Drosophila melanogaster: one gene and its partner. The protein of the gene in region 2 purifies or fractionates together with the protein of the main gene of each other region. This does not show direct contact. Each region holds a gene or a part of one and is shown on either strand. Other genes may lie near its edges.

Evidence for each region.
Region 1: the proteins of sub (region 2) and Grip71 purify together in Drosophila melanogaster (affinity purification with western blotting, with the first as the bait; one study listed by BioGRID). This does not show direct contact.

Annotation. Positions count from the first base shown.
Region 1 is NT_033779.5:18,699,775-18,716,455, reverse strand, and holds Grip71 (Grip71), read right to left. Parts: upstream 7,611-16,681; 5' UTR 7,519-7,610; coding exon 7,329-7,518; intron 7,270-7,328; coding exon 6,975-7,269; intron 6,913-6,974; coding exon 6,071-6,912; intron 6,016-6,070; coding exon 5,402-6,015; 3' UTR 5,159-5,401; downstream 1-5,158. Other genes in the region: CG10348 (uncharacterized protein), read left to right, coding at 4-1,626; Irk3 (inwardly rectifying potassium channel 3), read left to right, coding at 2,921-3,150, 3,294-3,504, 3,872-4,267, 4,346-4,452, 4,723-5,119; Faf2 (Fas-associated factor 2), read left to right, coding at 8,218-8,340, 8,595-9,659, 9,717-9,923; Jwa, read left to right, coding at 11,079-11,702; CG10343 (uncharacterized protein), read right to left, coding at 12,120-12,546, 12,619-12,728, 12,796-12,903; CG10376 (uncharacterized protein), read left to right, coding at 13,543-14,829; CG10341 (uncharacterized protein), read right to left, coding at 15,868-16,681.
Region 2 is NT_033778.4:17,738,054-17,754,708, reverse strand, and holds sub (subito), read left to right. Parts: upstream 1-6,630; 5' UTR 6,631-6,730; coding exon 6,731-7,271; intron 7,272-7,332; coding exon 7,333-8,531; intron 8,532-8,589; coding exon 8,590-8,736; 3' UTR 8,737-8,847; downstream 8,848-16,655. Other genes in the region: Sardh (sarcosine dehydrogenase), read left to right, coding at 1-104, 170-1,133; CG5002 (uncharacterized protein), read right to left, coding at 1,563-1,769, 1,832-2,002, 2,065-2,210, 2,273-2,575, 2,635-2,938, 3,164-3,279, 3,354-3,578, 3,638-3,937 and 1 more; CG10931 (uncharacterized protein), read right to left, coding at 4,654-5,691; Ir54a (ionotropic receptor 54a), read right to left, coding at 8,848-10,608; Vps50 (vacuolar protein sorting 50), read right to left, coding at 11,264-11,657, 11,725-11,837, 11,896-12,219, 12,276-12,386, 12,443-12,608, 12,666-12,997, 13,062-13,919, 13,977-14,294 and 2 more; PIG-A (phosphatidylinositol glycan anchor biosynthesis class A), read left to right, coding at 15,160-15,261, 15,331-15,576, 15,644-15,881, 15,938-16,655. UniProt on the Drosophila melanogaster protein: Required during female meiosis for bipolar spindle formation in the absence of the centrosomes and chromosome homolog segregation. Also has roles in male meiosis and mitotic divisions of the early embryo.

The DNA of each region.
Region 1 (16,681 bases), on a different chromosome or scaffold from region 2:
GTTATGAGAGAGAAAGACCACTCACCAAGAAAGATGCTTCCTAGCCCGAAACAGGGCTGCGTATACCCTGCCTTAGGATTAATACCCACATCGTATATATCACACGTACCTTATGATCTGGCCTCCTCAGCGTCGGTGGCGGCCACATCCTCGTCATCAACGTCGCCGACGACGACGTCGGCAACGACAACTGGGCGGCTGCAGCACCAACACTCCCACCAGCAACACCAGACCTTAAATCACCATGCCAAGGGCAAGCGGAGAAGCAGTTTCGATCAGCCGTTGGATCTGCGGTTGGCACACAAGCGGAAAACGGACCTGGTGGATCAAGGACCCATGGAGGATGAGAACAGCAACCTGATCATGTTCGCCAGTGAACTGGCGGTGGCTCAGCAAAAGGAGAAGGAGCTGAACAACAACCATATCGCAGCATCGCTGGCCGACCTGGGCTTTGATATGAGCCGCAAAATGCTGAGGGCCTTGAGAGAGGGTGGTGCAGGTGGCGGTGGCGGAGGAGGAGGAGGAGGAGGAGGCGGTGGTGGACCACCCAACGCACCGCCCTTAACACCACCGCAATGTTCGATACCTGCCGTACATCCCACACTCCTAGAAGCCATGACCAAGAACTTGCCCTTGCAGTATCGCAATGTGTTCGCTGGGGTTTTGCCGGGCAAGGTGAACAGTCCGGCGGCCTCCAGTAGTCCAACGGGCGCGGATTTCCCGTTCCGGCATCCGCTCAAGAAATGCGAGCTCACCTGGCCACCGCCCACAGAGCAATTGCAACTGGAGCTGCCTCATCCGAACCCGAAGTTGTCGCCGGTCCTGCCGCATCCGCAACTGCAGGACTATCAGACGCGGAGGAAAAACAAGGCCAGAACAGCTGCCACCGGGGGCAATGCCACGCCAAACTTGCCGCAACGCAACAAGGATCGCTACACCTGCAAGTTTTGCGGAAAAGTCTTTCCGAGATCGGCGAACCTGACGCGGCATCTGCGAACGCACACGGGCGAGCAGCCCTACAAATGCAAATACTGCGAACGTTCCTTTAGCATATCCTCGAATCTGCAGCGCCATGTGCGGAATATCCACAACAAGGAGCGACCCTTCAAGTGTGAGATATGCGAGAGATGCTTTGGCCAACAGACGAATCTGGACAGGCACCTCAAGAAGCACGAGTCGGATGCGGTGTCCTTGAGTGCCTTGTCGGGCGTGAGCGAAAGGATGCACTGCATACGCAGATTCTGCGAGAATCCTACTGAGGAATCCTATTTCGAGGAGATACGCAGCTTCATGGGCAAGGTCACGCAGCAACAGCAGCAGCAGCAGCAACAGCAGCAGCACGACCAACAGCAGCAACAGCATCAGTCAACCGCAACATCGGCGTCCAGTTCGTGCTCCTCGTCGCGGGACACGCCCACATCCTCGCACGAGGAGGCGGACCATGCGCCGGCAACATCGACGGCTGACACGGCAGCACCATCGTCCAGCAGAGACCAAGAGGAGGAGGATTCGCAGCCGATCATGGAGCTCAAGAGGACCCTTACCTCCAAGCTCTTCCCCACCACTACCGCAGACAGCGCGATGACGACGCCCCAAACAACATCTATCAAGGAAGAGGTACCCTAACTACGTAAAATCAATTTCAGCAAACAAATTTCCTATAGCAGAGGAGCCGGATGGAGGCGAAGAGGTTTCTAAACTATGTATGTCTAACACCTAGCTGAGGAGCAGATCCCTAAAACTATGTCTAATATCTAGCTGTAAATATATATATATACATGTATCCCTAAACCCCCCTATATGTTCTACAAATACGTGTAAATCGAATTGTACAAATCGAGAATTGGCAGATATTTTAATATAAATAAATATGAACGTATGTGCATAACTATTATTAGATTCGTCCTAAGCATTGGTATTTCTTTTGTACATATACGAGCGTGACATGACGAAAAGTGTATGAAAAGTAATGACAAACAAAACAACGCGCCCACTGTTTAAATAAAAAGTTACAAGTTTTTGAAATTAAAATAAAGAGCAATTTTAACTGGGTCTGGTTTTATAAAAAAAAAACGAATTTCAAATTCGACATTCTCTTCTCTGTATGAATTATACATTGATTCTACGACGAATTTTACATACATAGATCTAGCCTTGAACCCAACCAGTCTGGTTGTGATCTGAGCTATTCAAATCTTTAAGATTTATTTTTCTTTTTTAATCTGGGCTAATATTTTATTTTTAGCTTGAGAAATTAGGTAACATGACTGTTATCATCACAAATAAGGAAACTAAATGCAATTATATTATAAAAGTTTCCAGAGAGAGTTTAAAGTTGTATCCTTATCTGTCCTTAAAATGTTCTTACACAAGTGCCTCGATCGATTACGTGGGCGGCAAATTCAAACGCAACCGGATATCTTACCAACTATCTACTATCAACTTCCAGTCAAGAGATGCAGATGCAAAAGATTGTGCTGCCCTCCCGACGTATAAAAAGTGAAATATTTGCCAGACTTAGGACAATATTTGATCGTTCGCAAAATAAATACACTGATAGCGTCCGACTTTTACTTAAGATCTTGGGGCACATTTCGAGGCACTAATCTCGGCGGGCGGCGGACAACCGCTGTCATATGCCCAACGAACAAGATAATAAATAAATCCAAATGCACATCTTCAAGGGGCAGATAGTATGGACGCGGACTTAGTCAGTGTCAAGCGGTCAGGCAATCAAGTTGAGCTCTCGCTCTCACTATAAATCGTAGCCGTGGGCCACTGCAGCCTAATTCAATTCAATTAAAATTAAAACGCAGATCTACGCGTTCGAGTGAAATTGCCCCAAATTTCCGACAATTATAGGCCACGCTCTCGTCAGTGATTCCGCGTCGACGTAGGCGGCAATAGCTGAATCCCGGTCATGCAATCGGACGCATCTCCCCTGGGAGCTGCTGCCACGGATTCCCTAACCATGCATCGCTCAACCTCCATGCCGGTGAAGCCCAAGCCACTGGAGCAGAAGCCACTGCTCCGTTCCTCCGAAAAGGAGACGGTCAATGCGTCCGATTACTATCCGGAGAGTCCGGGATTCGTACGGCGCAGAAGGTCAAAAGCAGCCGGCGATCACCTGGAAACACGCAGCGAGCAAAAGTGAGTTGAGTTTAGGCAAAAGAAATTACCAATCAGATAGTTGTTATAATGACTATGGATACTAAGAAACGAAAACCTTTATTTTCTATGAACTTTTCTGGTATTATAAAAACCCTACAAGTTTATATAAATAATAATATAAGTCCCACGTTTAGTTTCCCCTACGCACACGACTGGGCGGGCAGTACGATTGAGCTTACTCCAGATTTGGGATCCGGACCGCGGACTTCCTCCTCCGATGGACTGAGACGCAGCCTTAATCGCGTGATGGAAAAGAACGGCAAGGAGAACGTTGTGTTCCGCCGCATTCCGGAGAAGTCATGGCGCTACATGCGGGATCTGGTCACCACGCTGGTAAGATCCTGGTTCGGACACAGGAAAACGTCTACACCCAGGGCCGATCAATCGCGATCGGATGTGTATAGCATAACGCCCAGTATTCAGCGCAGACTCGATGAACTGGCCAATGAGCCACCGCACCTGAGTCCCCATTTTTCGAAGTCTAATCCTAACCAAAACGAGCGCGTCACGTTCAGCATATAGTTTGTAGTACATTGATCAAGCCATGACCGACTAAAATACTCACACATATTAATAAATACGTATTAACCAACCACATATTCACTTGCTAAATTGAAGGGATACACAGTAAAGATATTAAAATGGGTCGTATTTTCATTCATTGGTAATCCATAAAGGTCGTTTCTTTCCAATCGCGCAGATGGAACTGGAGTGGAAGTATATGCTGACCCTGTTCCTGGGCAGCTACTTCCTCAGCTGGCTGCTCTTCGCCGCCCTCTGCTACGTGGTGGCCTACTCGCACGGTGACTTCATCTTCGATCCGGTAAGTGGCAAGCGAATGGGCGAGGGCGTGGATCCCTGCATCTACGGGGTGCACAGCTGGGTGGCCATGATCATATACTCTGTGGAAACACAGACGACCCTCGGATTCGGCGAAAAATACGCCAGCGAGGAGTGTCCGGAGACGATCTTCCTGTTCGTCATGCAGATGTTGAGTGCGGCCCTAATCGAGGGCTGTATGGTGAGCGTGATCTATGCCAAGACCGCACGGCCGGCGAGGCAGCTGACCAAGCTGAAGTTCAGCGATAAGGCGGTGGTAAGTAAAATGCCTCCACTGGGCGAGAGGAGTACACCCAACCATTCGGATCCATCCTTTAGCGATTATCTCACGTAGATCTGTTATCGCGACGGCAGGCTTTGTTTGCTCTTCCGCGTCTGTGATCCCCGCGAGCAGCAGTCCATCGAGTCCAAGATACGAGTCTACATCATCGTGGACAAACGGTGAGTCACAGTCGCATTTTAGGGAAAATCATAGAACTTAAGAATCCGCGGTTAATTTGGGTATATTTTCCTATTTTGTCTTGATCTTCAACGTTTTTTTTTCAATATTTATAAATGCTATAGAAACAATTTAATCACACTTGACTCCTGAAATATTGACCCAGTCATAAGGAAAGTCATAAATGAACTGACCTTCCATTCAGATAGTACTTGCTGCTGGATAAAACAAGCAATTAATACGAACCCCCATCTTATCTATTTCTCTGACAGCACGCGCGAGGGTGAGACTATAAAAAGTCACGTGGAACTGAAGCTGGAGGGGAATGGGGAGCAGATTATTCTCTGGCCCGATGTGGTGTGCCATGTCATCGATGAGACCAGCCCGTTGTCTCAGTTCACCACAGCGAAACTCTTCAATGCTGCCCAATTTGAGTTGTATGTGTCCATTGTGGGCACTTCGCCTGCCACAGCGCAGATGACGGAGGCCAAGACGTCCTATCTGCCAAGGGAGATTTTCTGGGGCCAGCGGTTCGTCAATATCATCCATTACGACGCCCAAAACGAGCGCTACATTGTCGACTACGAGAACTTCAACAGGACCATATCGGTGGACATGCCCATGACGAATCCGAAAAATGATCACTTAAAGCTAGAGTACAGAAAGTGAAAAGGGTTTTAAAAAATACATTTTAAGAAGCTTTCTTATCGCATTACACTTTTGGCAGCACTATATTAATAACGAATTCAAAAACATTTTATAGACCGAGGTAAATATTCTAAAACATTTGTAAAATATCTAAATGGATCGATTAACGAATTAAAATTTACATAAAACTCATGAGACGCCAAAACCTATTTTGAAAAATGTTACTAATAGTTGATAATAACAATAAATTAAATACAATAATAACAATGTTTCAATTAATTATTAACATGTCTCCCCCTCGTTTTACTCTCCGCATGATTCAGTTTGCTCCTGCTCCTGGTAAAACTTCAATTTGGCCTTTAACATTTCGTTTTCATTTTGTAGGCGCGAGAACTCGCGCATGAAGCTATCTCCTTGAAGTAGTAAAGCCAGGGCGTCCCGGATCTCCCTTGTGTTTTCCACCTGCTGGTCCATGTAGTTGGTCATCTTATTAGCCAATAGCCGCTGATTAGAGAAGGTAACGTACTCCAATTCGCGCTCCACCTTCTCGCAGCGCTGGTCTACAAAATCTCTTAGCTCGCTGAATTCCTTGCGCCAATCTGCATCCATTTGGGCGGAAAGTCCGCTTGACGATTTGGCCAGCAACTGCTGAGGCTTCAAGAGAGGATTTGAGGATTGTGGTGTGATGTTAGCATGGTGCGGGGTACTGTTTCGACTGGCCGAAAGCAAGCGCAGACGGCGTTTCATTTCTGCGTCAACCGGCGGGGGATTCTCTTTGTCGCTGCCGCCTCCTGTGCTGCTGGCCACGGAAATGTTGGCAGACTGCTCCTCGCAGAGCTCGTCCGTCTCGGCAATCTTCATCAGCTTTCCGTCTCCGGAAATGTTGCTCCGATCCTTCAGTGGGCCGCTTAAGGTCTCTGCAAGTAATAAGCTTATTATAACTAAAAAATAATAATCTCTACAGTAACTTGCGTTGCAGTGACTCCGTGGTGGAGCTGTTGACGGAGTTATCCACCGAGCTTGGGCCAGACGCCACTGGAGGACAAAGACTTTGACGATTGGCAGTTTCATAAGGTTGCGGTTTTCGGTTGAGCGTCTCCCAGTCAAAACTATCTCTGTAAGAGGCGCCCAAGCGGGTCGACATGCGATCCACAGCTCTTGGACCTTGGGCATCCAGGAACTCGCAAAAGGAATCCCGGCGAACTATGGTAGGTGTTGACACCCCGTAACCAAGACTGGTCAGCTGGTTTTGGGTGCTCAACAAATTAGCGGCAATCGATTTACGCAACTCATCGCTGGGCGCACGCTCTACACGAGGAGCTTCGGTCGCCAAACCAGTTGCATTTTCGGAGCTGTTGAGGCTACCGTTCTGCTGGTTATCCCCACTTGGCACGGGCACAAAGGCTACACGTGTTACAGCCGCATCATGTACACTCCTCACGGCCAACGGAGCCTTTGTACTCCTCATATCATAGGCTATTAATTCGCCCTTAAGGTTTCCAGCACAAAGATAAGTGCCACATTCACTCAGCGCCACCGTCGATAGTGGATGCGAGTAGGTCAAGCGATCCGTAGAGGCCTGAGCACGATTTCGTCGAATGTCGAAGATATTTATCTTGCAATCGTAGCCCACGCTGACCAGCAGTGCCGGTTGGGATGTGCACATACTGATGTCCCGGCAGGGAGCACTGTGGGCTTCGCTGGCATGAAAAATCTTTCGCATTCCCTGCACATCATAGACAGTCACGGCTCCTTTATAGGAAGCGATCGACAGATGAAAGCGTTTGCTCGGATGAAAGCGCACAAGAGTAGAGCTGATATTAACAGGATAGCGAAAGATCAATGCAATCCTTTAACAAGCAAGCCTTTAACTTACTCGCCATCTATGGTGAAGGTGTTGGTCTTCTGTTTGGTCTTGGTACCCAAGATACTGATGTCCCCGCCATCGCGCACGGCGGCTATATACTCGTCCGTGTTGTTGTAGTCCATGTAGAGGACAGTACTCCTTTGCGGGTCCGCCGGAAAACGATGGATGAGCTGTGCCGTCCGAAAGTTGTATAGCTTAACACAACCGCTCTGACCCACAGCGATCTCTTCCAGGGATTGCTTGGCGCACGCCACACAGAAGGCATTGTCGATGGTGAGCTTACGGACTCGTTGAATCTCGGGCGCTGTGAAATGGGAAGTTAATTACATACGTGGGATTTGGGGATCCGCACCTCTCTCTTACTCTTGCCATCCTTCTCCTTTATTCGCATCACGGCCAAGCCCGCCATTTTATCCACCTCCACGAAGACCCGGCGTTGGCCGTTGAACTGAAAGTCCGTGGGCTCTGCGTTCTGGTGCACATACTCAGACTTTGTCTCCAGATCCGCGAAGTCGGAGAGCACGGTTTTTTTAGACGTGGAAATAACATGCATTTTGATTTATTTCTTCAGATATTTACACAATTCAAATTTGAGTGCTTTTGTTCGGACTGATTTAAGAATGTGCCCGCTGCTTTATTACCTGAAAATTCCAAAGCTCGTCCGTCGATTTTCCAAGTGATGTTAGACAAATATGCTGATTCCACTACACATTGTCCTTATCTAACACCTTTGAATTATATATCAATATTGCTTTTAATCTTTTTCTGTGTTTTACCACGCCAGGCATAGAGATCAAATAAATAATAAAAATAATTTTTTAAAAAGCGAACACAAATTGTTTGTTTGCCGCTGGATTTCGCAGTGAGAACGCGTCGGCCTGCGCGGTCACACTAGTCATTCACAACCAAATTCATCGGATCATTGGCAGAAAGGCAAGAAGAAGAGCAAGCAATCACCTGCGAAAAAGAAATAAATTGCCGAGAAATGTTAAAGACGTTGTAGTGCGGCAATTTGGCGTGCGTTGAAATGACTCCTGGCGACCAGTAGAAGCATTTAGTGACCACGCTACTCATCCCCCGTCCCCCGCCGCAGCGGCTGAGCCACTGGACAAAGGCCAGCTTACAACAAAAACAACACCAGGGAGACAGTCACGGGCCATTGGCACCCACACAAGCACACACACGCACGCACTGCGTAAAAGCAAACAACAACGATAACAACTGGGAACGGAGGCCTTCAACTGCAGGAAAGATGGAAGCTGATGGACTGACCAACGAACAGACGGAGAAGGTCCTCCAGTTCCAGGATCTCACCGGCATCGAGGATATGAACGTCTGCCGCGACGTCCTAATCAGACACCAATGGGATCTCGAGGTATGCATATGTTTATATGCCCACACAGTGAATGTCAAAATAACAGGGTCACGTAGTCTTGCAGTCTTGCATACAGTGGTGGCTGCAAGAATACTACTACCAACAAGTTTTGTACATATATATTATCTGACGACTAAAGATAGTAATCATTTTATTCTAAATTCTTTTTAAATTTGTTTTTTACAATTTTGCGTTGGGCGCCCTGCTATACTAAATACCAGCTTATTTACCCTTTTTCATATCTACATATGCAGGTGGCCTTCCAGGAGCAGCTAAATATCCGCGAGGGGCGTCCGACCATGTTCGCCGCCTCTACAGATGTCCGAGCGCCCGCTGTCCTTAACGATCGCTTCCTGCAGCAGGTGTTTTCCGCCAACATGCCTGGCGGAAGGACGGTTAGCCGGGTGCCCAGTGGCCCCGTTCCCCGCAGCTTCACCGGCATCATTGGATATGTGATTAACTTCGTGTTTCAGTACTTCTACTCCACGCTGACGAGCATCGTCAGTGCGTTTGTGAACCTGGGCGGAGGAAACGAAGCCCGCTTGGTGACAGATCCACTGGGGGATGTGATGAAGTTTATTAGGGAATACTACGAAAGGTATCCCGAGCACCCGGTCTTCTATCAGGGCACATATGCCCAGGCCCTTAACGATGCTAAGCAGGAGCTGCGTTTTCTAATCGTTTACCTGCACAAGGATCCCGCCAAGAACCCAGATGTGGAATCCTTCTGCCGCAACACACTGTCGGCGAGATCGGTCATTGACTACATTAACACACACACCCTGTTATGGGGATGCGACGTAGCCACGCCGGAGGGCTACCGGGTGATGCAGTCGATAACGGTGCGCAGCTACCCAACGATGGTGATGATCAGCCTTCGAGCAAATCGCATGATGATCGTCGGACGTTTCGAGGGGGATTGCACGCCCGAAGAGCTGCTCCGTCGCCTCCAGTCGGTGACGAACGCCAACGAGGTGTGGCTGAGTCAAGCGCGTGCAGATCGCTTAGAGCGGAATTTTACACAGACTTTAAGAAGACAGCAGGACGAGGCATACGAGCAGAGTTTGCTTGCGGACGAGGAGAAGGAGCGTCAGCGGCAAAGGGAGCGGGATGCCGTCCGGCAGGCGGAGGAGGCTGTGGAACAAGCTCGACGCGATGTCGAGCTTCGCAAGGAGGAGATTGCCCGGCAAAAGATCGAGCTGGCCACATTGGTGCCATCCGAGCCGGCAGCGGATGCTGTCGGCGCCATTGCAGTTGTATTCAAGCTGCCCAGTGGAACACGCCTAGAGCGCCGATTTAACCAGACGGATTCGGTGCTTGTAAGTTACACAAATTTAAACTGCTAATTTGGGATTGATGATTTGATGTTATTGCAGGACGTTTATCACTATCTCTTCTGCCATCCCGATTCGCCGGATGAGTTCGAGATCACAACGAATTTCCCGAAGCGCGTGCTCTTCTCGAAAGCGAACTTGGATGCCGCTGGGGAAACAGGCACAGCCAAGGAGACGCTGACCAAAACCCTTCAGGCCGTAGGACTCAAGAACCGCGAGGTGCTGTTCGTTAACGATCTGGAAGCGTAACCAAGCACCACCTACCAAATGAAAGCATCATCGTGTTACCAGCAGCAACGCATTACCAAAACTTGAACCAAGTTTTAAGTAGTCGTAGTCAACGTCCAAGTCGGAGGATAAATAGAGAAACTATTCCTAATTTAATCATGAACATTAATATTAATAATTGTTTAACAATGTTTAGGTTGATTCTCTGATCTGCCCAACACCATCAACCAACCCGTTTCTCAAACATTCACACATCAGTAAAAATCGTTTCCAGAATAATTTCCGTGAACCACAATTTAGTTCTTTTTATTTAAGATGCGTTGTTATGTTAGCTGTACTTATACTTCCGTCTATTTAACGAATAATAGAGGCACATTCTTGTTATTTGACAGAGAGCTTGAATTCAATTTGAATTTGAGTTTAGATTGAAGATATAAATAATCATTTAAAGTGAGAACGTTCAAATACACAAGTTCGGGACAGTTGATCATAAAAAATATAGTTATACAGATATTACTTTAAAACACCAAACAAGTGCTTTTCTAAAATATGGGCTTCTCGTAAGTTTACTGAATATCAAAGGAAAAACCAAATTTAAGTTCAAAATATATTTTTGAATTTTTGGTGTGGCAACGCCATTTGTACCTATCGATAGCTCATGGTGATGGGCTATTGCGACTCACGTACTTATGGCCTAAAATTTAATTTATTATTCAAGTAATATTTTAATTGATGAAATGTCAATTGATTTGACAATTTAATTGCTAGCGACTGATTAAAAAAGGTAAAGTTAAAAAGTGCGTCGAGTGCCCTCACGGCAGCAGTCACGAGTCCACCTCCAGAATCCTATAGTCATTGCTTGTTAGTCAGCACGAAAGTCACGACGGAGTCGTGTGAAAATCTGAATATACGCTGGAATTCCGAGGATTGGAGGATAATAGTGAGCAAGAGGACAATAACGACTGGTTCACCGACGACGAGAGAACGCGTCTGCTGCCCGGGAAAAGGGGAAAATCAGCAACCACTGGCTTGCGGCTGAAAATTCGGCAGTTGACTTCTAATCTGCTCAACGTGGAGGAGGTTCGCAACGTCGCACGGAGCCTACGTCAACCGAGTTATCAGAAGCTCTTTCAGCAGGACAAGAGCCAGCAGGACATCCGCAATAACCCAAAAACCATGACAACGCCCTCCACTTCCGTGGGCGATGCAGCCGCCGCCTTGTCCGGCAATCTTCAGTTGCCGCCTCTGCGAACCCTCGATGACTTCATCCTGGGATCGGCCCGATTCCAACTGCCCAATCTCAAGGATTTTGAGAAGTGGGGCAATCGGGTGGTGAAGAACCTGCTCTATTACCAAACAAACTACTTTTTGCTCTTCATTACCATCTACGTTTTGATGATTTTCTTCAATCCTTCAAAGATTATTACTGGTCTGCTGGTGCAGGCTTTGATCATAGGCGTTATCTGGCAGTTCTTCAGCGGAAAGTCGAAGAAGAACTTCATCGCCAGTCGTCTGACTGGTGGAAATGCCAATGCAGCAGAGCAGAATGCCCAACAGAAATGGTACATACTGGCTGGAGCTCTGCTCGGAGGTTATCTTCTTCTGCATCTGCTGAGCGCAGTGCTTTTGACGATTTTCACCGTGTTGCTACCTATTTCGCTGACCTTCATCCACGCCTCCTTGCGACTGCGAAACATCAAGAACAAGCTGACCAACAGCATCGAGAGCTTTGCTCCCTCCACGCCCATGGGCTCCTTGCTGGATGCCTTAAATGTCCGGGCCGAAGGCGTCTTTAATTAGACTGACCAGTTTGACACAGTTGGAATGATCGTTTTTATCGCTAGTTATCCTTGTCAATGTTGATCCTTGCAAAGCAAATCCCGGTATTGTAATCGATTTTGATTTTTACTTTTGTATTAAACTATGATTTTATGCAGCCATCATGTAACGCAAATATTACAAATGTCAATAAAGTTTTCCCAGGAATTTCGCTGTGTTGCTCCTCTAAAGATAATGTTATCTTATAAGGGCCAATCCTCTCACCCAAATCAAAAGTTGAAACCTTTGATAGTTAGTAGCGTAAACAAGATATAGACTTTATGATAGCCGCCCATGCAGTTACTCGCGTTTATTCTATCACATAAAATAGTATTGGCTTTTGATTTCAATTTAAGGTTTCCTCGATGTTATTACTCCTATTTTTAGTTGGTAGGCATTTTAGTTGTTCAGGGGGTGGAGAGCTGGAGCGTTGGACGCTGCAATTTCGGCGGCAGTGAGAGAATCATCGTTTTTCCCACCCGTCTGCGATAAATGCTTGACGAGGTCCACCCAATCCCAGCCACGTTCCCGGTCTCCTTTGTGATCGGTTCTCTCCCACTGCCGGCGCTTTTGCGCCTTAGTCAGGTGCTCCTTCTTGGGCTCCTTTTTCTTGGACTCCGCATCGGCATTGGGATCGGAGATCTTTAGAGCACCCACGCCATCATCCACTAACGCCACCGTGGGTGCAGATTCGGGTTGCTCTGCGGTCAATTGCTCCAGGTTGTCCTTAAGGCATTCGAACAGGGTATAGGTCATGCCACAGCCCAGCCATTGGTCCGCTTCCGTACTCAGAGCCGTTTGGATCCCTTCCTTGACAGCTGGCAGTCTGTTAAATAGGAAAGCGTAGTCTTTAGAGCTAAACCTGCTCCAATTTCCCAAGGAATAACGATCCACTTACAGATTCCTATTGTAAAACGCGTTCATGTTGATCGCTGGCGCCTCATCGGGGTAATTTTCGCCCCACTTGAGCTCGACCAAGAACGACTTGTAGTTATCCTCTTCGCCATACTAAAATTTCATTTATTATATTACAAATTATCATATTTGTGTGCTTTTTTTTATCCATGTGGCTTACTTTGTACTGAAATGTGACGCTATCTATTTCCTTGAAGTTCGTGTCGCCCTCGTATATTGACTGCAACGCCTCCCGTTCTTCCGTCTGCTGTTCCAGTGGCGTGCTCATAGTAAATTGTGTGGATTATCTTTACTGTTCAAGATTTTATCATTTTTTGTTAAACAAGACAAAAATCAAAATTTGTAACAAAAACAAAAGCAACAGTAACAATCAGCTGGCCACCGGTGGATGTGTGGCCGTTCTATCTCAAATCAGTTATAGCTTGTCTCCACTGGGTCCGCATGCGAAGCCTTAAAAAGGCTAAATAGGTGTTTTTGTTATTTATTGTAAAGGCTTGATTAAAATTATGTTTATAAATATATTCTATTATTTCATTTAAAATACTTCTGAAGTTTTTTTTATGTTTCCAAATGCAGTTAAAGGTTTTCAATCAAAATTAAAAAATAAATAAAAAGAGAAATGAAGCGTAATAGATGAAACCGAAGATGAAGGGTAAACAATCTTCGTAGGTGGGAATATCACGCATCTATTTCGATAGGCATAGCAAAGTTATCGAGCCAGTACAGTTCAGTTCGCAGCAGAATAACATAGAAGAACGCAAACAATAACAACATAAAAAAAAATCATAAAATGCACAGTGCGCGCGTGAATCATCGTTGAGCAACAATTAGCATTGATAAGCTCATGATCGCGCGGCGTCACTAGGAGCGGAAACAGGAACTGAGGCACACGCGACCCACGACAAGTATGTCGTCAGATGCGATTCCCGCATCGGAATGTGCGCACCTGATGGAATTCAAGCGATTTCTGGTCAGCACGGCGGAGAAGGCAGCAGCCGTAAGCGAGGAGGTGGTCAGCCGGAGTTGTGTAACTCGTACGGCCAATGAGACATACAAAGTGTCCGGCGAGGAGCGTCATGCCGAATTGGTCTCAGCTATTTGGAAACAACTGGAGACTCGAGGATGTCCGGCGCAGTTCCGGATTAAGCTACTCCATCGAAGCACACAGCAGCTGGAGCAGGATCTGTGCTTTGCCAAGGAGTGTGAAGTCACCGTGGAGGGTCCGCCGCAGTACGATCTTCTCAAGCTGCAGAAGTTCGTGGCCAGTGAGTTTGAGAAGTACATCCTAAAACTCACCGACAACTCGGAGGTGGATCGCCTCAAGGACTTCGCTGATGAGGCGGCGCCGGAAAACTGCGAGTGCCACCAGCAGAAAGAACCCCTGCACACATCTGCCGCTGTAAAGAACAAACCCCGCAAAATGGAGGATCGCTGTGTTTGCCTGGATCGATTTGGTGAAATGTACGAGCTGCTGGACAAGACCACCCGTTTTTTTGGCGTCTTTGATGGTCACTCTGGCTCTTTATCCGCCACCTATGCAACCAGCCAACTCCCACAACTGCTAGCCGATCAGCTTAAAGCAAATCCAGATCCTGCTGCATTCTCCCCAGACTTTTATCGCAATGCCTTCGAGTCGGCATTTTTGCTGGCCGACGAGCGTTTCACCCAGAAGAAGATCACCAGCGGCACAACCAGCGTGTGTGCCTTGATCACAAAGGATCAGCTTTATATCGCTTGGGTGGGCGATTCCAAGGCCCTTCTCGTGGGCAAGCGGACTCAACTGCAGCTGGTGAAACCGCACAAGCCAGAGAATCCGGATGAGCGCAAGAGAATAGAAACAGCTGGTGGAACAGTGCTCCACGCCCAGGGGCAGTGGCGTGTAAATGGCATTCTTAACGTGGCCCGCTCCATTGGCGACTACAGCCTTGAGGCAGTGATCGCAGAGCCGGACTTCGTGGATGTGCAGTTAAATGAGGCTCACGACTTTCTCGTACTAGGCACCGATGGCCTGTGGGATCATGTGCCCGAGTCGCTCATAATCGAAACCGTTTACGATTCCCTAGCGGATACCACAATGAAGTTGGACGACATTCCCAAACTGCTGATAGAGGCTGCCAAGGAGCGGGATTCCCAGGATAACATAACAGCGGTGGTGGTTTTGCTCAAACCGCGACATCAGATCGAACATCTTTAAAAGTTTAGGTCCGAGCAGCAAATTTTTTATATTGTTACCCGCCTTGGGATGGGTTAATTTTGTACAAATTCAAAGCAACTTAAAAGTCGTAGAAGCGAAAAGTAATCTTGAATCAACGCCCTTTGTGTGGTGGGATAACACGAAAAGTCATATCAAATTTTACGTATTCGAAAGAGAAAAATGTGCCAAATATTTTTAAACAATTCAAGAACGCAATATACACTTGATATTGGCATGCATATTGTGGGAATATAAGTAATATAATCCATTTTCTAAAAGATTATTGAACGTACGCAATCGTTTAATGTGATACAACGAAAATAAGGTATTACAAGATGATAGAACCCAAGTCCTTGCCTAATTAAAAACTAATAATATGCCCAAAGATTACTTTCCGAACCTACATTTGCAAATTAATCAACGAGAATTAACCCAAACCGGCCCATTGTTGTTTCGTTTACTTTACGTTATTGTTGTAATGTAAATAGCTTGGAGCTGTTCGGAGTGCTCCTACCTTTATTGTCACATTCTCACGTGCCTACGTGGTCCTGAATATGGATGACCCCATCCCGGTCCACTTGTTTGGTTGCTCGAATAAGCTCAATCAAAATATTTTGTGGTTGCTCAGCAGTTGAACGAAATTTTAACAAGTTAAGGCAACTGTTGTTAGCCCAATAGTATATAGAAAAAGTGCACAATTACGCACATAAATATGTTTACATATATTTTAGATTAGCCAGCAAGCATATTTATACACATTGAAGTTGTTTTCGGCCGCTTAGTGCTTCCTGCTGTACGATAATAAGCCAAGCCATGTAGCCAGGTACACATATATCGTAGTTAAACGCGTATATATTTACACCCGTAACCGTATTTAATGATCCCACACAGATTAAGTACCTTTTTATACAAATCCAACGAACCTTTCATGCATTTTATCGAACAACCCAGGACACATTTTTAACAACACACACGCAAATTGATAAAGATTTTTTATTGGAATAATAAAAGTAATTCACTGAATTGTCATACCTATCTCTAGCTGGGTGGCGGCTGACCCTGATGTGACTGGTTGTTCGGCGGAGGAGGAGCAAAGGGTGGTGGTGGCGGGTACATGTGTGGGTACATGGGCGGCATGGCGTAGGGCATTCCGTAGCCATAGTTAGGCACTGGGAAGGGCATGCCAGGATGCTGCTGAGCCATGTTAAAGTTAGCCGCTGCCTGGTGATAGTTCTGGTAGTAGTTGGAGTGCCAGCTGCCCGGATTGTAGCTTGGATGGAAGTTGTATTGTTCGTCCTGTGGCTGATTCTGGTTGTGCTGGTTAATGGAGGGTCGCTGGCTCTGGCGGAAACTCTCTCGTTGCCCACGACGTCCGCGTTGACGAGGAGGAGGAGCAACTGAAGAAGCCTTAGTGGCTGTCGTGGCCACCGAGGTTACCGTGTCCACGGAATCTGTGGAGTTTGTGCGATCCCTTTGGCGGCGCTTTCGCTGCTCTGCCCTGGCTTCTCTTTCTTCTTCATCATCCGAGTGATCTACGTAGCGGGCTGGTGGTTCTACATCGTGCTCCCACGAAGCATCCGATCCTCGAACTTGCATCAGCTTGGAGAGGATCACAAATTGAGTGTGTTCGGTTTTGGGAGCGCAGTACACTACGTCGCCAATTTTGATGCCCCTATCGAGGATCTGTTTGTTACTGTTGAATCGAACGCAGTACAGTGGATCCGACACTTGACCCAACACATCGAACACTTCGCCCAGGACCTTGCGACCCTTCTCCAGGAACAAAACGGTGTCGAGATCGAATAGCATGGAATTCGGCAGCACGGAAACCAAAACAAGCTGATCCACGATG
Region 2 (16,655 bases):
GTCTTTAACATGAGCTACTTCGCCAAGCTGCTTCTAGATGGTCCACAGGCCCAGGAGGCCGCTGACTGGCTATTCTCCGCCAATACCAACAGGGATCCCAGCAAGTAAGATCCATGTATAGATATACAAATTTAGAAACCTTTCTAAACAATTACCACTTCCATTTTAGAACTGTCTACACCTGTGCTCTAAACGATGCCGGCGGAGTGGAGGCGGATGTGACCATTTCCCGCCTTGCTCCCGGTTCTGGAGAGGTCTACAATCCCAAGATCAATGGCCAGGGCTTTTATATTGTGGCTGGCGGCGCTTCTGCCTTCTACACTTACAGTGTTTTGCTGGCAGAGATCCGTCGAAAAGGATTCAATGCGAGCCTCAAGGATCTGACTGCCGAATTGGGTGTGATTTCTATTCAAGGACCAAACAGCCGAAAGATCCTGCAGCCCCTCATCGACTGTGATCTGTCCGATGAGCACGTAGCTCCCAACAGCACTCGATTAGCCAAATTCGGTGATGTGGGTCTCCGTTTGCTGCGGGTCAGCTTTGTGGGAGAACTGGGCTACGAGCTTCATGTGCCCAAGAAGGATTGTGCTGCCGTCTATCGGAGTCTGATGAAAGCGGGAGCTGGAGAGGATTTGCGCAATGCTGGCTACCGTTCCCTTTACTCCCTCAGCAGCGAAAAAGGCTATCATCTATGGAGCTTCGATCTGCGACCGGATGACACGCCCCTGGAAGCTGGCTTGGGATTCACATGTCGCAAAACGGGTGCAGATTACCGTGGCAAGGCGGCCATCGAAAATCAGCGAGCTGAGGGCCTAAAGAAGCGACTGGTCTACTTGACGCTCCGGGATCAGGTGCCCATCTGGGGTTTGGAGGGAGTCTACCGAAATGGCGAGCCCGTGGGCATACTTAGACGAGCTGAATATGCCTATACCCTTGGAAAGTCCCTCGGTCAGACATACGTGTCCCGACCAGATGGCAAGATCATCGATGCTGATTACATTCGGAACGGGGAGTACGAGGTGGACATCTTGGGCAAGAAATACCGCGCCGACTGTCACTTGCGCAGCCCATTCGATCCTACCGGCCAACGGGTTCTCGGTAACTATGCATCCGAGTCCAAGTCCAATAAATAAAGATTAGTCTCTTCCACTTCCAAGAACTCGTTTACCCGGCATAGGGAATTTCTCTCAACCTTTCTCTTTCTGGCAGGGCACGACGGTATTGTTGAAGTGCCTGCCTTAACATACATGTAGGGTCATAAATTACTTTCCCCATGAATATGAAAAGGTTCGAAGAAAGGTCACGGTGTAGGCAGACAGGCAGTCTGCGAAGTGGTCACCCGAAATGGTTGCGGTTACGGCTCAATTAATTTCTGTGTCCAACTATTATGACATCATTCTCGGTTTCCGCGAAGGATATGCCTTTCCAGACGTAATTCTAGAGCACTTGGACACCTCGGCCAGACAGAGGGTCGCCACTCAAGTGGATTTCTTTGCTTAAATGAAATTTCATATAATTGTGATATTGATGCAATACTTTCAGCTTATAATAAACTAGGTTCTTCAGGCCTCGATGGTTACGGTGGAGGCCGTATTGGAGGGACTATCGAAGTGGCCAGCTACCACCTCCTCCAGCGATAAATCGAACTTGAAGATGGGACGGAGATCGTTGTTGAGTCGGCAGACGACTCCGGCGGAGGCGATGTTCCAGTTCCAGCAGATCATGGCGCAGTTCAGTGCCTCCAAATCGCCCTTCATCGAGACAATATTCTATATATGGGGATGCAAACATTATTATCAATCAGATTGTGTGCTTTTAGCGGCCCACTTACCATAGCCACTGTATAGTCAATGGAGTTGATCTCCTCGCCCTTGATAACCACCAACTGGGTCTCGCCATTCTGGTTGTTCAGGAAGCGCACCACCTTCTCCTTGAGATACTCAGCCGATGCATAGTCCAGCTTTTGCTTCACATCCACCACGCTAACTTCGTGACCATTGATCTGGTAGATGATATATGATTTGTTAGTGTAAATTGCATCTAGATAAGATAGGATAAGCTCACCTTCTCCAGTTTGATGTCTACATGTGGACGTGCACTGCTATATAGAATGTATACCATGTTGGCACCGATGCCACACAGTATTCCGTACTCCAGACTCCAGAACATGCAGGTGAGTACAGTGACCACAAAGGGAAACAGATCCTTCTCTGGAAAGTTAAGACAGAGCGTTAGTAGTAATACCTACAAAACTTTATCAGCATAAACTCACTCTTAGATTTCCACATGTCCTTAATCTTGTGCAGCTCCACTAGCGATATCATCGCCGCTATAATAATTGCAGCCAGCGTGCATTTGGGTATAAAGTAGAAAGTTTGGGTAAGGAATGCCAGTGCCATGAGCACCAGGGCACCGGTGACAGCTCCACCCAGTGGTGTCTTCACCCCACTGGCATTATTCACAGCCGTGCGGGTAAAGGATCCCGTTACGGGCATGGAGAGCACAAAGCTGCCCATGATGTTGCACATTCCCAGTGCCACCATCTCCTGCGATGCGTCTACAATTTTTCCCTTAGCTGAAAATTTAGAATTCCTTAGTATAAATGGCTTTAGAACTAATTCAAATTATACTTACAAAATGCCTTCGATATGGCTACTATTTCCAGGATCGAAATCAAGGGGATGGAACCCAAGGATGCGCCGACAGTGCTGATCATCTCGCCAAAGGAAACGTACTCTCCATCTACGGTGGTGCTAAAGGGCGGCAGCCGGAAGGGCGGTACTCCGGCCGTAATGTTTCCAGTGACACGGAAGGGTTGATTCCCATCTCGACTGAGGATGTAGGCCAAAAAGGTGCCAAAGATCACAGCCAGGGCGTTGCGGGAGAGACCAAGGTACTTCCAGAATATACGATTGCCCCATTTGATGTCTTTAACACGCTGAAAGTATATTACATTTGTAAATTAGTGAATAATATATATAATATATAATGCAACCATCAAGTTAACTTAAGTTAATAAAGCAACTAATTCTGAAGAGCCAAATTTATGCTGTATCTTAAGGTTTTTAACCCGAAATCAAAATCAAGCGGCTGCAAGAATTTTGTTGATTGGCTTAAATTGATATTGAAATTTAATAAAATTTCGTTTTTATTTTCTTCTCACCGTCATGAGCAACAGGAACACCAGAGATGAGACACCCAGCAGGGCATCCCAGAGCCTAATTGACGTCAAGTGGGTGAAGAAATTCTTCCAGGCGGGCAGTAAATCATTCGAAGGACCTATTTTCAATGCATTTCAATGTTTCAGGTAGTTTGAAATTTCTAGAAAATAAAAAAATAATTTCGCAACTCACTGGTCAGACCCACGATGTTGTTGATCTGGGCACTGCCAATTGTGGTGGCCGCCGCCATGGTGAAGCCAGTGATTACGGGAATCGAAATGAACCTGACCAGTACACCCATGTTGAGCAATCCAAGTAGAAGTACAATGCAACCAGCTAGGAAACACACCAGAACCGCATAATCCGGACTGATAGTGGCATACTGGTTGACCATTAGAGCCATGATGGCGGTTGTGGCTAGTGGATGTTGTGAAATTAGCACTGATAGCAGAAATTTACCCCACATCTGAACTCACCAATTGTGACATCTTTGCAGGAACCAAACACGATGTATGTGAAGCAACCCATGAAGGCGGAGTATAAACCATACTGCGGCTCCAAGCCGGCCACCACTCCATAGGCAATCGCCTGGGGAATAGTCGTTAATCCCACCGTGAATCCCGCAATAAAGTCCTGCATGATGTACTCCAATCGGTAACGAGGTAGCCACTTCAGGATCGGGAACTTGTTGGTCACGGTGGACGGACGGCACAGCTTACGACCGCCATCCCTAATAAGCGTGCTCACATTGGGCAGTTGCTCCCGGTACAGATTATCTGCGAATTCAAAACAAGCCTTGGATAAGGAGTATTTAAGTGTGCCAAGATAACCCCTCCCCGTGCGGGGCTAATCTTGCCTGGCAGCAACTTGTTCGCACATCTGTCGATCAGTGTTTTATATTGACTTTGGGCTGGTCATCTTATCGCCAGACAACCTGGGCTACCCCACGCAGATAAGGTGCATTCAGATACTCTTTTATGAATTGGCACGTATTTTATACGATTACAGCCCCCACAATCGCTGGAAACGCATCAAATCAATTGACCCTGATCGCCGCGATCGCTGCTTCCGGAAAAACCCCTGGAGCAGTTACTCACCCTCATCGGCTCTCATCGCGGGTGGCTCTCCAGCTTTAAACCGGGCTGTAGTTCCGAGAACGATAGGGAAACCGGCTGCGATGCAAAGGCAATGGCTGTAATCAAAACCGGGGAGCTAACGCGTCCGCTCAGTGTGCTGCTCCAAACGCGACTGCCGCTCCGATCGCCGTCGTCCAACGGCTTTAGAGACCGAAAGCAATCGCGTTCGCACATTCTGGCCATATAAGATTTACAAGCGCAGGTACCGGTGCCGCCATATCATGTTCGCTCTGTTAGTCCGTTGATAAACAATTACAAAGACAACCTTAATATTTGGCTAATGACATGGCCGGCTTATTTATATAAAGAAAATAATTACAAGCTAATGAGTGGAGGAATTTTGTTGATTGTTGGAACTACTTCTCGCTGCTCTTCCAGATTTTAATGGCATATGAATTTTGTAGGGCGCCGCTAGCAATCACATTTGCCGTGGGATGGCAATGTGTGCTCAAAATCTGGTCGCCCTCCGTGCTTATCTTTTGCACCAGCTCCCTCGTCTGCAGATTCCAGATGCAAAGCGTATTATCCTCGCTGCCGGAGACAATCCAAATGCCGCCGGTGGTGGAAAAATTGGAGTTGGAGCAATAGAACTCATTCAAATGCCCGCGATAGGTCCTCATGCACTTGGGCTTCTTGTAGTTCCATAGCCTAAGGGTGTTGTTCAATGTGGACGACAGGATGTAGCGTCCGTTCGGTGAGAACTTCACATATCCGACCGGGATGTTGTCAACGTCAACGAGAGTCTTCAGCACATGCCCGGTGCTAGAGTCCCACAAGCGGACCAGCCCATCATAGCTGCTGGTGACAAAAATATTGCCATCGCGGTGGAAGTCCACCGATGTTATGGGATCCTGGTGGGCGTGGACGATTTTGAGCGTTTTGCCAGTGCGGACATCCCAAAGGCGCACTGTTTCGTCAAAGCTAGTGGAGGCCAGCAGATTGGCCTGCGGATTAAAGCAGCAGGAGAAACTGTACCTGGAATGCCCCTCCAAAACTTTGACGCAGAGCTTGCTGCGGGCATCCCAGAGACGCACGGTCATGTCATCGCTACAACTGGCAATTAATCCAGCCGCCGACCAGGCGACATCGTTGACTCCGTCTCCGTGCCCGGCCAGCGATTGAATGCATCGGGTTGCGCTCAAGTCCCAGAGCTTAAGCAGCCTATCGCCGGAGCTGCTGACCAAGTTCTCGCCATTCGAACTAAACTTTAGACCAGTAACGCAACCACTGTGACCGAGGAGCGAGTGCTTAATGGCGTAGCCCGGAGACATGGAGTTCTCCAAATGGAACTGACTTGGTAGCATAGGCATCTTAAAGGAATCGAAAGCGGCCTCCGGGATGGCGATTTCAGTTTCGGAATCTCCAGGAGTCGAAGCTGTTTCAATCAATTCCATAATTTTATTTTTTTCGCCCAATTTTAATTTCTTACGAATCCTGCGAAAAGTTCGAAAACTTGGCGATGATGGTGACAGTTCCTGAGTTGACAAAAGCTTGCTGATATTTTGTAAAAAGGGTTTTCATTTCATCATTTACCCGATTATTTTTGGCGCCCAGTTTTAAGTTTTTATTATTTTTTTAAATTAATTACCTACAAATGTTGAGTCTGTTTTTAATTATCGCGAGAAAAAGTACACACGTACTGATAATTCATTAAACACTTTTTTACAATATTTGTCTAGTACATACAATTGTTAATTGTTTCTACAACTACTTATAACTCATTTAGTCAATATTTGTTTGAATTCCCAGACAGGGGGCGTAAAAAATCAGACTGGAAAAAGTAAACAAGCCCAATTAATTTGCGTTTTAAGGGAGTACTTATTTGGCGACAGGGTGCTCTATTTGCGCAGCCTGTTATTGTTATGCTGTCCAGACTTGTTAACCAAACATTAAACAAATGGCCGGTGCTGTGCCGTGCCGGCAATTTGTCACCTAATTATTTGTCGACGCTGCTAATCTTACATATGGGCAAAATTGGAGAATGCGCGATAATCAAGTCAGTGAACTTAATATTTGCATGGTAATTTAACAGACTTAAAGTGAATTTTTAACTTAAATTTTAGTAACATTTGGATTTTAACTGCACATATATGCCTTTATTATTTTATAAAGTTTGAATCAATGAATTTTTATACTAAAAATGTGTGCTAGTACTAGAATGAATTGAAATTATTTATAATAACTGGAACGTGTTGCTATCGATTTTTTTTTGTCAAAATTTATCTTTTTTATTAAAAATTGAATTTCTACATTAAATGTTATTGATGGTATTTTGTAACGGCTAATTCAAATGATCAACGGTCACACTAGCCAGTGGAGCTGCCAGCTATCATTTGAAATTCAAGTAAAGTTGGCAGCCCCCTGGCGTCTGAAAAATAGCGCGAAGTGAAGTAAACTAAAAAGTATCCCTTCAACCCACATAAACAGCGCAAAATGGACAGCAAGGAGGTTTCGGAGGTGCCAAGGCGGGAGGTGCGCTCCTTCCTGATGGCCCGGGATCCCTCCATCGACCGCCGCTTTCGACCGCGACCCAACAAAAAGATGCGTCTGTTTGACAACATTCAGGAGTCGGAGGAAGAAAGTTTTTCCGAATACTCGGACACGGAATCGGAGTACAAGTACCAGTCGAGCGAGGCAACCGAAGGGGCCTCATGCGCTACCAGTGCGGCAGACAGCAGCAACGTGGAAACGGGGCCACAGGTCTTCCTGCGCTTGCGTCCCGTTAAGGATGCATCCAAAGCCTACATAGTCTCGGAAGAAGCAAATGTGCTGATCACTAGCTGCAAAGTGGACTCGACCAGCAACAATGTGAACCGCATGGAAAAACACTTTGGATTCACTTCCATCTTTGACAGCACCGTTGGCCAGCGAGACATCTATGATACCTGTGTGGGTCCCAAAATTATGGAGGAGGAATGTGTGACCATTATGACATATGGCACATCGGGGTCTGGAAAAACGTATACCTTACTGGGTAAGCGAAGAGGACTTGCAACAAGTTTGCTGGGCAATTGTTAATTTAAATCCATTTTTAGGCGATGATGTGCGTGCTGGAATCATTCCGCGTGCCCTGGAAAACATATTCACCATTTACCAGGACACCGTCTTCCGATCGCCCAAGCTGAAGCTAATCAATGGCAGCATCGTGTTCTTGCAGGACGACGCCTCGCTGAAAGAGCTGCAGATTCGGAAAAAACTTTTAGACTTATGTCCGGATATCAGTGCCCACCATCAGCGTCTGAAGCAGGTCATTGATGGCGACCACATGTTCGAAACGAAGGCTTCCACCGATGTTTCCGTCTTGGTTTGGGTGTCCTTCGTGGAGATCTACAATGAACTTGTGTACGACCTGCTAGCCATTCCGCCGAAACAGGACAAACTGGGGGAGGTGCCACGAAAAAACCTGAAGATCGTGGGCAACAAAGGCCATGTGTTCATCAAGGGTCTGACCAGTGTTTTCGTGACGAGCAGCGAGGAGGCGCTGCGTCTGCTCCGGCTGGGCCAGCAGCGCTCCACGTACGCCTCCACCTCGGTGAACGCCAACTCTAGTCGGTCGCACTGTGTCTTTACCGTGGACATACTAAAGTACAATCGGTCGGGCATCACCACACAGAGTTCGTACAAATTCTGCGACCTGGCGGGTTCGGAACGCGTCAACAACACGGGTACCTCCGGCCTTCGTCTCAAGGAAGCAAAGAACATAAATACGTCGCTGATGGTGCTGGGTCGATGTTTAGATGCGGCCAGTACAGTTCAGAAAAAGAAAAACGCCGACATCATTCCATATCGCGACTCCAAGCTAACAATGCTGTTGCAGGCTGCTTTGCTGGGCAAGGAGAAATTGGCCATGATCGTGACAGTTACCCCTCTGGATAAATACTACGAGGAGAACCTGAACGTCTTGAACTTTGCTTCCATCGCCAAGAACATCATCTTCAAGGAGCCCGTAATTAAACAGCATCGCGTCAGCTACTGTGGTTTCATGGAATTCTCAAAGATGTCGACGTGCGAGGGCGGCGACTACACCAAGGAACTTGAGGACGAAAACGTGCGCCTGCAGTTAGAGATTGAGCAACTGAAGTACGATCATGTGCTGCAAATGCAGCTGCTTGAGGAGAAACTGCGAAGGGAACTGACTGCCACCTACCAGGAGATTATCCAAAACAACAAGAAGCAATATGAAGACGAATGCGAGAAAAAATTACTAATTGCGCAAAGAGAATCAGAATTTATGGTTAGTAAATATAACAATATAATATAATAGTATATAATATAAACTATATATTTAACAGCTTTCCTCTCAACGCCGAAGGTATGAAGAACAAATAGAAGACCTCAAAGATGAGATAGAGGAACTTAAGAATCCTGCAAGCGACACGGACATTTCTGATGATCCAAACGAATCTAAGTCTCCCATCGAAATCCTCGATGATGATTAGTTTCTTTAATTCACAATTTTTAATTTGTTAAGTGTTAGTGATTTTAAAATTTAAATTTGAAACTTGATATGTTGCAGAGTTGGCCACGTTTTCCAATAAACATGTGAATGATCAATAAACTAGTGACACAAATAATGATGTGATTCTGTGCCAAGAAACTTCGAGCAAGAATACCAGAATCGCAATTACCATAAATGTTCCGTACGCCTGCCACATCCACTGAAAATCCACAATCCTTAGCGAGGTAGGGTGCTCTCTTTCCTTCAACTGCAGGCTGGGATCCTCCAGACCGGACAATCCAGCTGCTGTCATGTCGTAGTAGTGCATTCCCACCCAGAAGTCATAGAGTCCATTGGCATTTACCTCCAAAATAAGTTGGCTGACGGGCTCTGTGAACAAGGAATTCTGCGGCCATTGGAAAGAGAGCAGCGCCAGGGACCACAGGCAGTCATCCGTGGAGTAGATAAACAGCTCTCGGGTGAAGCGCTTCTGCTGCTCACTGAACAAATTCCAATACAGTCGGGAGGCGAAGTAGGCATTGCTTGTGTTCCTTCCATTCCTCAAGTGATTGTACTCACTCACATTGACCACCAGCATGGGCACACGCAGTTTCATCCATGTGGGAAAGTCTTCCTCGGTCGTAACCAATGGTATTTTCGTGCGACGCAGACCAGCGAAACTTCGTGCTTGAAATTGCCGTGGTGGATGAGCCATTAATGTGTCCAGTCCCGCTCCAAAAATGCTGCTCACATTAAGACCCACTATTCCAAGCATCAGAAATATCAACCTGGTGGAGAAGCTTCTCGACAAGGGCAAATTGAAGGATTGGCCCAAGATTCCGCGTAAAGCTTTATCATTTAGCACAAAGTCCACCAGACGCACATCGCGATGGGTCATGTTTCGAAGGAGATTCAAAGCCAATCCATAACTGGAAACAATAACAATAGCCAGGAACATATTGGAAGCACTGCTCAGGATAAAGTAAATATCCTTAATTGGAATTCTTCTGGCCACCGGTACCATAAGGCAGACGTGGGTCACCTCCATCGGATAGCTTGTGCTGGCCAACTGCTCGACTCGCTCCATTATCGTCAGACTGGCAGGAACATCAACTGAAAAGCTCTCGCTCAGCTCCTTGAGGGCAGTGGCATTTAGAAAGCGCCCGGTGGTCACCTTCTTGGACAGCTGCAGCGTGGCGTTCAGCTTCCACGACAGCACGTGAAAGAAGCGTCCCACAGATCCGGCTAGGATTTGCTTACCCGTTCGTCTGTCCACGTAGAGAACGGAACGCGGAAGCCATTGGTCGGGCATAACAGTAAGAGGGTGACCGTGCATGTTGGGAAAATCCTTGTCGAATATGGTTGAAGATTCAAGAGAGCGATACTCCGTTCGGAAGCTAGGATATAGGTGATATCTATAAAAGTAACGATGTTCATCTGAAGCTAAAAGTCCAACAATGTTCCAAATTCGGCGATGATAGCACGTTTCGAAAATATAGTCCATTCTAGTTGGATCAGAGAAATTGTTTGATATATAGACAATCTTCTTCTGACTCGGAAAATCCATTAGCGAACTCGTAAAGTTTTCGAGTAACGCCAGGTCCTTTTGCAGCTCATGTCCAGGCAGGCAAGCTACGTGTAGCGGCCGAGAAAACATCCGAATGTTTATAAAAGTCTCGCTATCTGAAAGGACAACCACTGGAATGGTTTGATTCTCAAAGATATCCTTTGCCCAGTTGTACGGACAATAATCAATACGAATCATTATTACTGAGAGCGAGTGCTCCGCTGCTGCTCTAAAGATGAAGTCCACAGCGGATCCCGCAACCAGGACGGGTGCCCATAAAACTATTCCTGTTATCACTGTCCACATGTCCTTTCAATTATGTTGCCCATCAGACTTAGCTGCTTTATTTATATTGTGCGGGAACTGCTCCAAGTTGAAGGGAAATGCCTTGTCAAGCTTTTCACGCCCTCGATGATAAGACACAATTCGCATTGTTTGTAATATGCATATCTCAAAATATGTATTCTTTGTTATTTTGTTACAGTTGCTAAATAGTTAATGGTGTGTGATCGTGGGAGGCGCGCAAATCAAATCGATACGCTGCCCCTTACATTTAAGTTGTTTTACAATTATTTGTCTGTTTCCTGCTGCAAATAAATATTACAAATAAATAGGTATCTTAATTATACGTGTTTTGTGTGTACATATATATATATATATGTCTGTTTTCTCTAGGTACTTAAGTCATGGTGAATGGTAAACCAATTGCCAATTATCAATTAGAAAGATTATAGGATAGATTGCACTTAAGGAGGGTTTGGGAGATTCTAAATTTGAAACGAAGTACTTCATGGAGATCGCCTGTATAACTAAGGTAGAATCATTAGCCTTAAACACAATGTTAATTTGAACTAAACGGAATGTTAATTACACGTAAAGAATGTCATGAGATTGATCTACTAACAAAGTTAGTTTGGGGTTATAACAAAATAAATACAATTAAATAATCGTTCGGGGGAGCTCAGATAACGCTGCTTAAATTTGAGCCGGCTACGGATCCGTGGTTGTTCTTCTGCGGTGTTGTTGTCGGCGTCGTTGACATTGCTATTCCATTTTGTATTCCAGCGTCAAGCAACTGTAGCAACCTTTGTCGCGTGCGTTTATCGCTGACACAAATACAATGAATAAGGTTGTTCAATTGCTTGAGAGAGTATTCATCGCCCGTACGCTGCTGTTCAATCCATTGCTCGAACTGTTCGGGCGCAAAATAGTAGGTCTTGATGAACACATCCACATAGGAGCGATGCTGTGGGTACTTTTGGTTCGATATGAGCTCTAGGAACGACATAAAGTTCGCAAAATCCAGTTGCATAAGCGCTCGTCCTCCGGCAGAGCATTTCTTCACATTGGAGAACCTATAACATAATAAACAATAACTATGTAAAATCAGATCCTTCTGAGAAATAGAAAATAAGAACGTACCCCTCCACCAGCAGATGCGTGGCCACATGGGCCATTGAATTCCACACTTGCTTGCTGGGCACTGGAACCTCCTTGGCAATTTCCTCCAGACACATGGCGAAGCTTTGTATGTTCTGCATATAAATGTGGTTAGTTTGTGTAGTGTATTAAGCATTATTTAGCATTTCCCACCCTATTTAGAACATCACTGTAGTTGCTGTGCTGGTGTATCACATGATTAACATCCCATTTGACCTTGGCCATCTGAGCCAGAATGGATGACAAATCGATGACGCGCGACGTGACGCATGTGTAAACGAGTTTAGCCAAGTCCGCAATATAATCGCTATAGTCCAGGTAACTGGCCAGGATTGGACGCTCTGCAAGGGGCAGCAAGTGGTTCAGATAGTGCTGAAGGACGTTGAACTGCTGAAGCATGCTGCGACCCGCTTCCACGGCCACGATGCGTTGTGACAGTCCGTATAAGGTATCCGGATTAGCTAGCTCATTATTTGCCTGCAAAAGGATGATTTAATTAATTAAAGCTCTAGGAAAATAACATATAATATTACCAGAGAGGAGAAATTAAGGGGCCATAGCTTGATTTGTGGCAGAACGTTAACCTCGACCGAGCGTAAACGTTGCTCCAGTCTAGGAGAGTGCATATTATCCGTTGCTACCGGCTGCAAATATCAACAATTAATATATCTTCAAAAGTGATTGTTATAAAAATATTTACCGCATCTTTTCCGAAGATTTCGTGCACTGCGTAGACATAAAAGTCAATGAGCTCCAGGATGCAAGCCACAATCTTGGGAGAGATGCAGTGCAATAACTTGCACATCTGCAGATATCTTCCAATGACGCGCATCACATTTAGCGCAGTGTTGTTTACCAGCAGCTGGCTAAAATAAATTTACATTTATTATGATTTCGCGGTATAATAACCAAGATAATATTACTTGCTGGCGTCATCGAACTCCTTGCTTTGCAAGCTTTTCTGCTCGTCATCGCTCTCCTCGCTGAAATAACAGGAGGCCTCGTCCACAATGCCGGATAAGATGTCCTCCTCCAACATTGCTGCATCCAAGCCACCATCAAATGGCGAACTTTTTTCGGAGAATCTGAGAAAATATCCGTAGGAACCGTAAATGGAGCTGCCACCATCCTGGGAGTGCACGGAAACCAGCTCATCGCAGTTATTATTGCTGATCGGGGAGTTGTTGGATGAGGCCAGCAAAGCAGTTGTCGGAGACTTGTGGCGCCGAAGAGTGTGCCGAACCGATCGGAATTCCTACAGAGAATTACATGTAGATAACTTAACCAGTCGCTTTAATGGCCAATTTAAAATTACTTACAGGCAATTGCAGGATATGCGCAAATGAGTCGACTTGCGTCCAGGACTCGTTATCCAAGAATAAACAGATTTCCTCAATGCAGCAGATATGGTAACGCCGGAAGAACTCCTCGCTCTGCTGCTGCATCGTCTCGATCAACTTCTCCGACTGCTCGCCGCAGAACTCCAGACCCACCTTCTTAAGTCTTTGTACCACGGACAGCACTTGGATGAACTGATCGTATTTAAGAGCCGTCAACTTTGCCGACTGCAGGAACAAGCACACTTTGGTCAGAATGTCATTCCAAACGCGTGACTGTCCCTTCTTCAGTTTCTGCTGAATGTAAATATCTGGTGAATCCTCCTCCTCCTGTCCATACAACTTGTAGTTATTGTGCCACATAACAACCTGATAGTAGGAGGCCAGAATGGTCCAGAAGGTTTTGCACAAACTAATCAGACAGGGCAGCAGCTTATCCACGCTAAGCTGTTCGCACAGCTGCTCATAGAGCGGCTTGGCCTGATCGTCCTGGCCAGGATCGCTGTAACCGCGAAGCACTGCATTCACAGAAGAGTGAATGGCCGAAATATAGTTGATGTGCAGCTGGTCCATGGCCATCAGTGACTTGTTTGCCAATTTGTAGGCCTCCTGCAGTTTGGCGTATTTTCGCCCATCAAAACCTAGCACCATTTCATTAAGCACAGTATCCAGCTGAAATTCCATAAGCAGCATGGTTTCCTGCAGCTTTTTAGAGAGCGATTGTACACAGTTGAACTGCATGTAGGCCTCGGCGGAGCTCTTGCACTGCAGGAGCAGAGCTATGGCGGCGCTGTAGTTGTGATCCGCTAGCAGCTTCTGTACCTCCACGTCAGTAGTGCGCTGTAAGATATTGTATGTTATTCAAATTGCCCACAGAATCATCAATTCATTTCTGACCAGTCTCTTGATGGCCACCAGGGTGTCCAACACCTCCTTGAGCACCTCTCGTTTGCGGTAGCTGGCCAAGATCTCCAGGCTAGTGGTTGTTAGGTTCGTGCGAGCAAAGTTTAAATAGGATCTCGCCTTTTGGCATGTCCACAGCGATTCCTCCAACTTCTTCTGCGTGTCATTGATAGCGGCAAACTCACTGCTGCAGGCATTCCGCTGCTCCAGGATGTTCTGGAGCACCTGTTTGGTAAGAACCTTCTGCTGAGTGCGCAATTGTGCAATGGTGACCTCGATGAGCTCGTTGTCTATGCCATCGTTGAGAACTTTCTACGGAAGATCGTGGTGGGTAATTAAAGCCACAGCTTACTGGTCTACCTGGTTTACCTTGAGTTCGTACAGCTGTGGATTGCTGTCGGGGTTGTAGTAGCACTGTTCGATGCTCTCCAGGATCTCCTGGTCCGACTTTTGTGCATTTGACTCGCTGGAAGAAGTGGCTGCCGCGTCTGTGGCATCAGTTTCTTGACTGGCGGAGGCGTCTGTGGTCACCGTTTGAATGAAATAATCCGAAAAACCCATGGCAGGAATTTTCATTTGACGGTTCGTCTTTGTGTGCGTGAGCAGTATTTTGTTTGGTGGGCGGAATGCATAGCAACGGGGTTAGTTTTGGGGATTATTTAAATGTTCGATGATCTGCTACCTGTTTGTGCAATATGTCCAAGAATTTGCTCTTGAATTCGTCCATTTTGGCCTTGGAATTCTGCATGATTTAGCCATGAAGAAACCAGCCAAAACACAAAAACGTCTGCAGCCGAGTGTGACCAGCATCCGCAAGCATTGCTAAAGCTACTTGCAGTGTTAAAAAATATATAAAGTTATAGTACCTAGAAAATAGGTACATCATTGTCTACAGACCTATTTTTAGGAAAAACTTTTGCCTTGTTGAGAAGAAAAAGCTTTAAGCACTTTTATACATATTCGTGGCACATTAATTTAATGTTATATTCAAATCGAAATTGGGCCCCAGTACCGATTAGCATTTTCTTCACCTTTCAACACTACTACATCGACCACTCTTTGGCCATTGTGCACACTGTTGTTTTTTGCTTGCCGATTTTTGTTTAACATATTGTATTTATTTGTTTATATGTGGTATGTCAAATTACTGGAAGCCGCAGAACCCAAAGAGTGAAAAATGCGCATCTGCATGGTGTCGGACTTCTTCTATCCGAGCATCGGAGGGGTCGAGGAGCACGTCTACAACCTTTCGCAAATGTTGCTCAGCTTGGGTCACAAGGTGACTATTGTCAATTGGGCGGACCACGAATGATAACGATTATTTGAACTGACTATCTTTGCCCATTAGATCGTCGTGCTGACCCACGCCTACGGAGACTGCAGTGGCATTCGCTATGTGACTGGCTACCTGAAGGTCTACTATCTGCCCATTAAGGTGTGCTACAACCAGTGCATACTGCCCACCGCTGTTTGCAATGTGCCGATGTTGCGAGCGGTGCTACTTCGTGAGCGGGTGGAAGTGGTCCATGGCCACTCTGCCTTCAGTGCTCTGGCGCACGAGGCACTGATGGTGGGCTCCCTCCTGGGGCTAAAGGTAGGCATAATCTTCAATACGAAACGTATAGTTTAAATCGCTAATGAATCATCTTTTTGTTTGGCAGACTGTCTTTACCGATCACAGCCTCTTTGGCTTTGCGGACTTGTCAGCCGCTCTAACCAACAATCTGCTGGAGGTCAACTTGGGCATGGTCAATCACGCCATCTGTGTATCTCACATAGGGAAGGAGAACACTGTTCTACGCGCTCGAGTAGCTAAACATCGAGTTTCCGTCATTCCCAATGCAGTCGACACTGCCCTGTTTACTCCCGATCCTCAACAGCGTCCGAGCAATGATATAAGTATGGGGACTTCGTCGTTTTGTAGTATTTTTAATTAACTTATCCCTACTTTTCAGTCAACATTGTAGTGGCCTCCCGTCTTGTCTACCGCAAAGGCATTGATTTGCTAGCTGGCATCATTCCACGGTTCAAAAACACTCCCAACATAAACTTTATCATTGTGGGCGATGGACCTAAGCGTGATCTGCTGGAGGAGATTCGCGAAAAGACCAATATGCAGGAAAGGGTTCAAATGGTGGGCGCCGTGGAGCATAACAGGGTTCGCGATTTCCTGGTGCGTGGCCACATCTTTTTGAATACCTCACTGACTGAGGCCTACTGCATGGCCATCGTTGAGGCGGCTTCCTGTGGACTGCAGGTGGTGTCCACCAGTGTGGGCGGAATTCCCGAAGTGCTACCCAAGAGTCTTATACTGCTGGCAGAGCCCGAAATTGATGCCATTTACGCAGCGATTCTAATTGCCATCGACCGTCATCGAAAGAGTTCCTTTAAGGTTAGTCCATCAGTTGGCAATGGGCATTTGGCCTCGGACGCTAATGGAAAGGTTAAGCGGCGACGTCGCAGGAAAGTCGATACTCCTATCTCTCCTACACAACTGCCAGCAGTCTCTGCTCCTCCTGCGGATCAGAACAGCTCTACAGAGCCCGTAATGTGTCCATATAGATGTAATGAGTTGGTGGAAACGCTTTACAATTGGGAGGATGTTGCCCTTCGCACAGTAAAGGTGTACGATCGCGTTTTAAATGAACGCTCTTTCACCACTAGCGAGCTGGT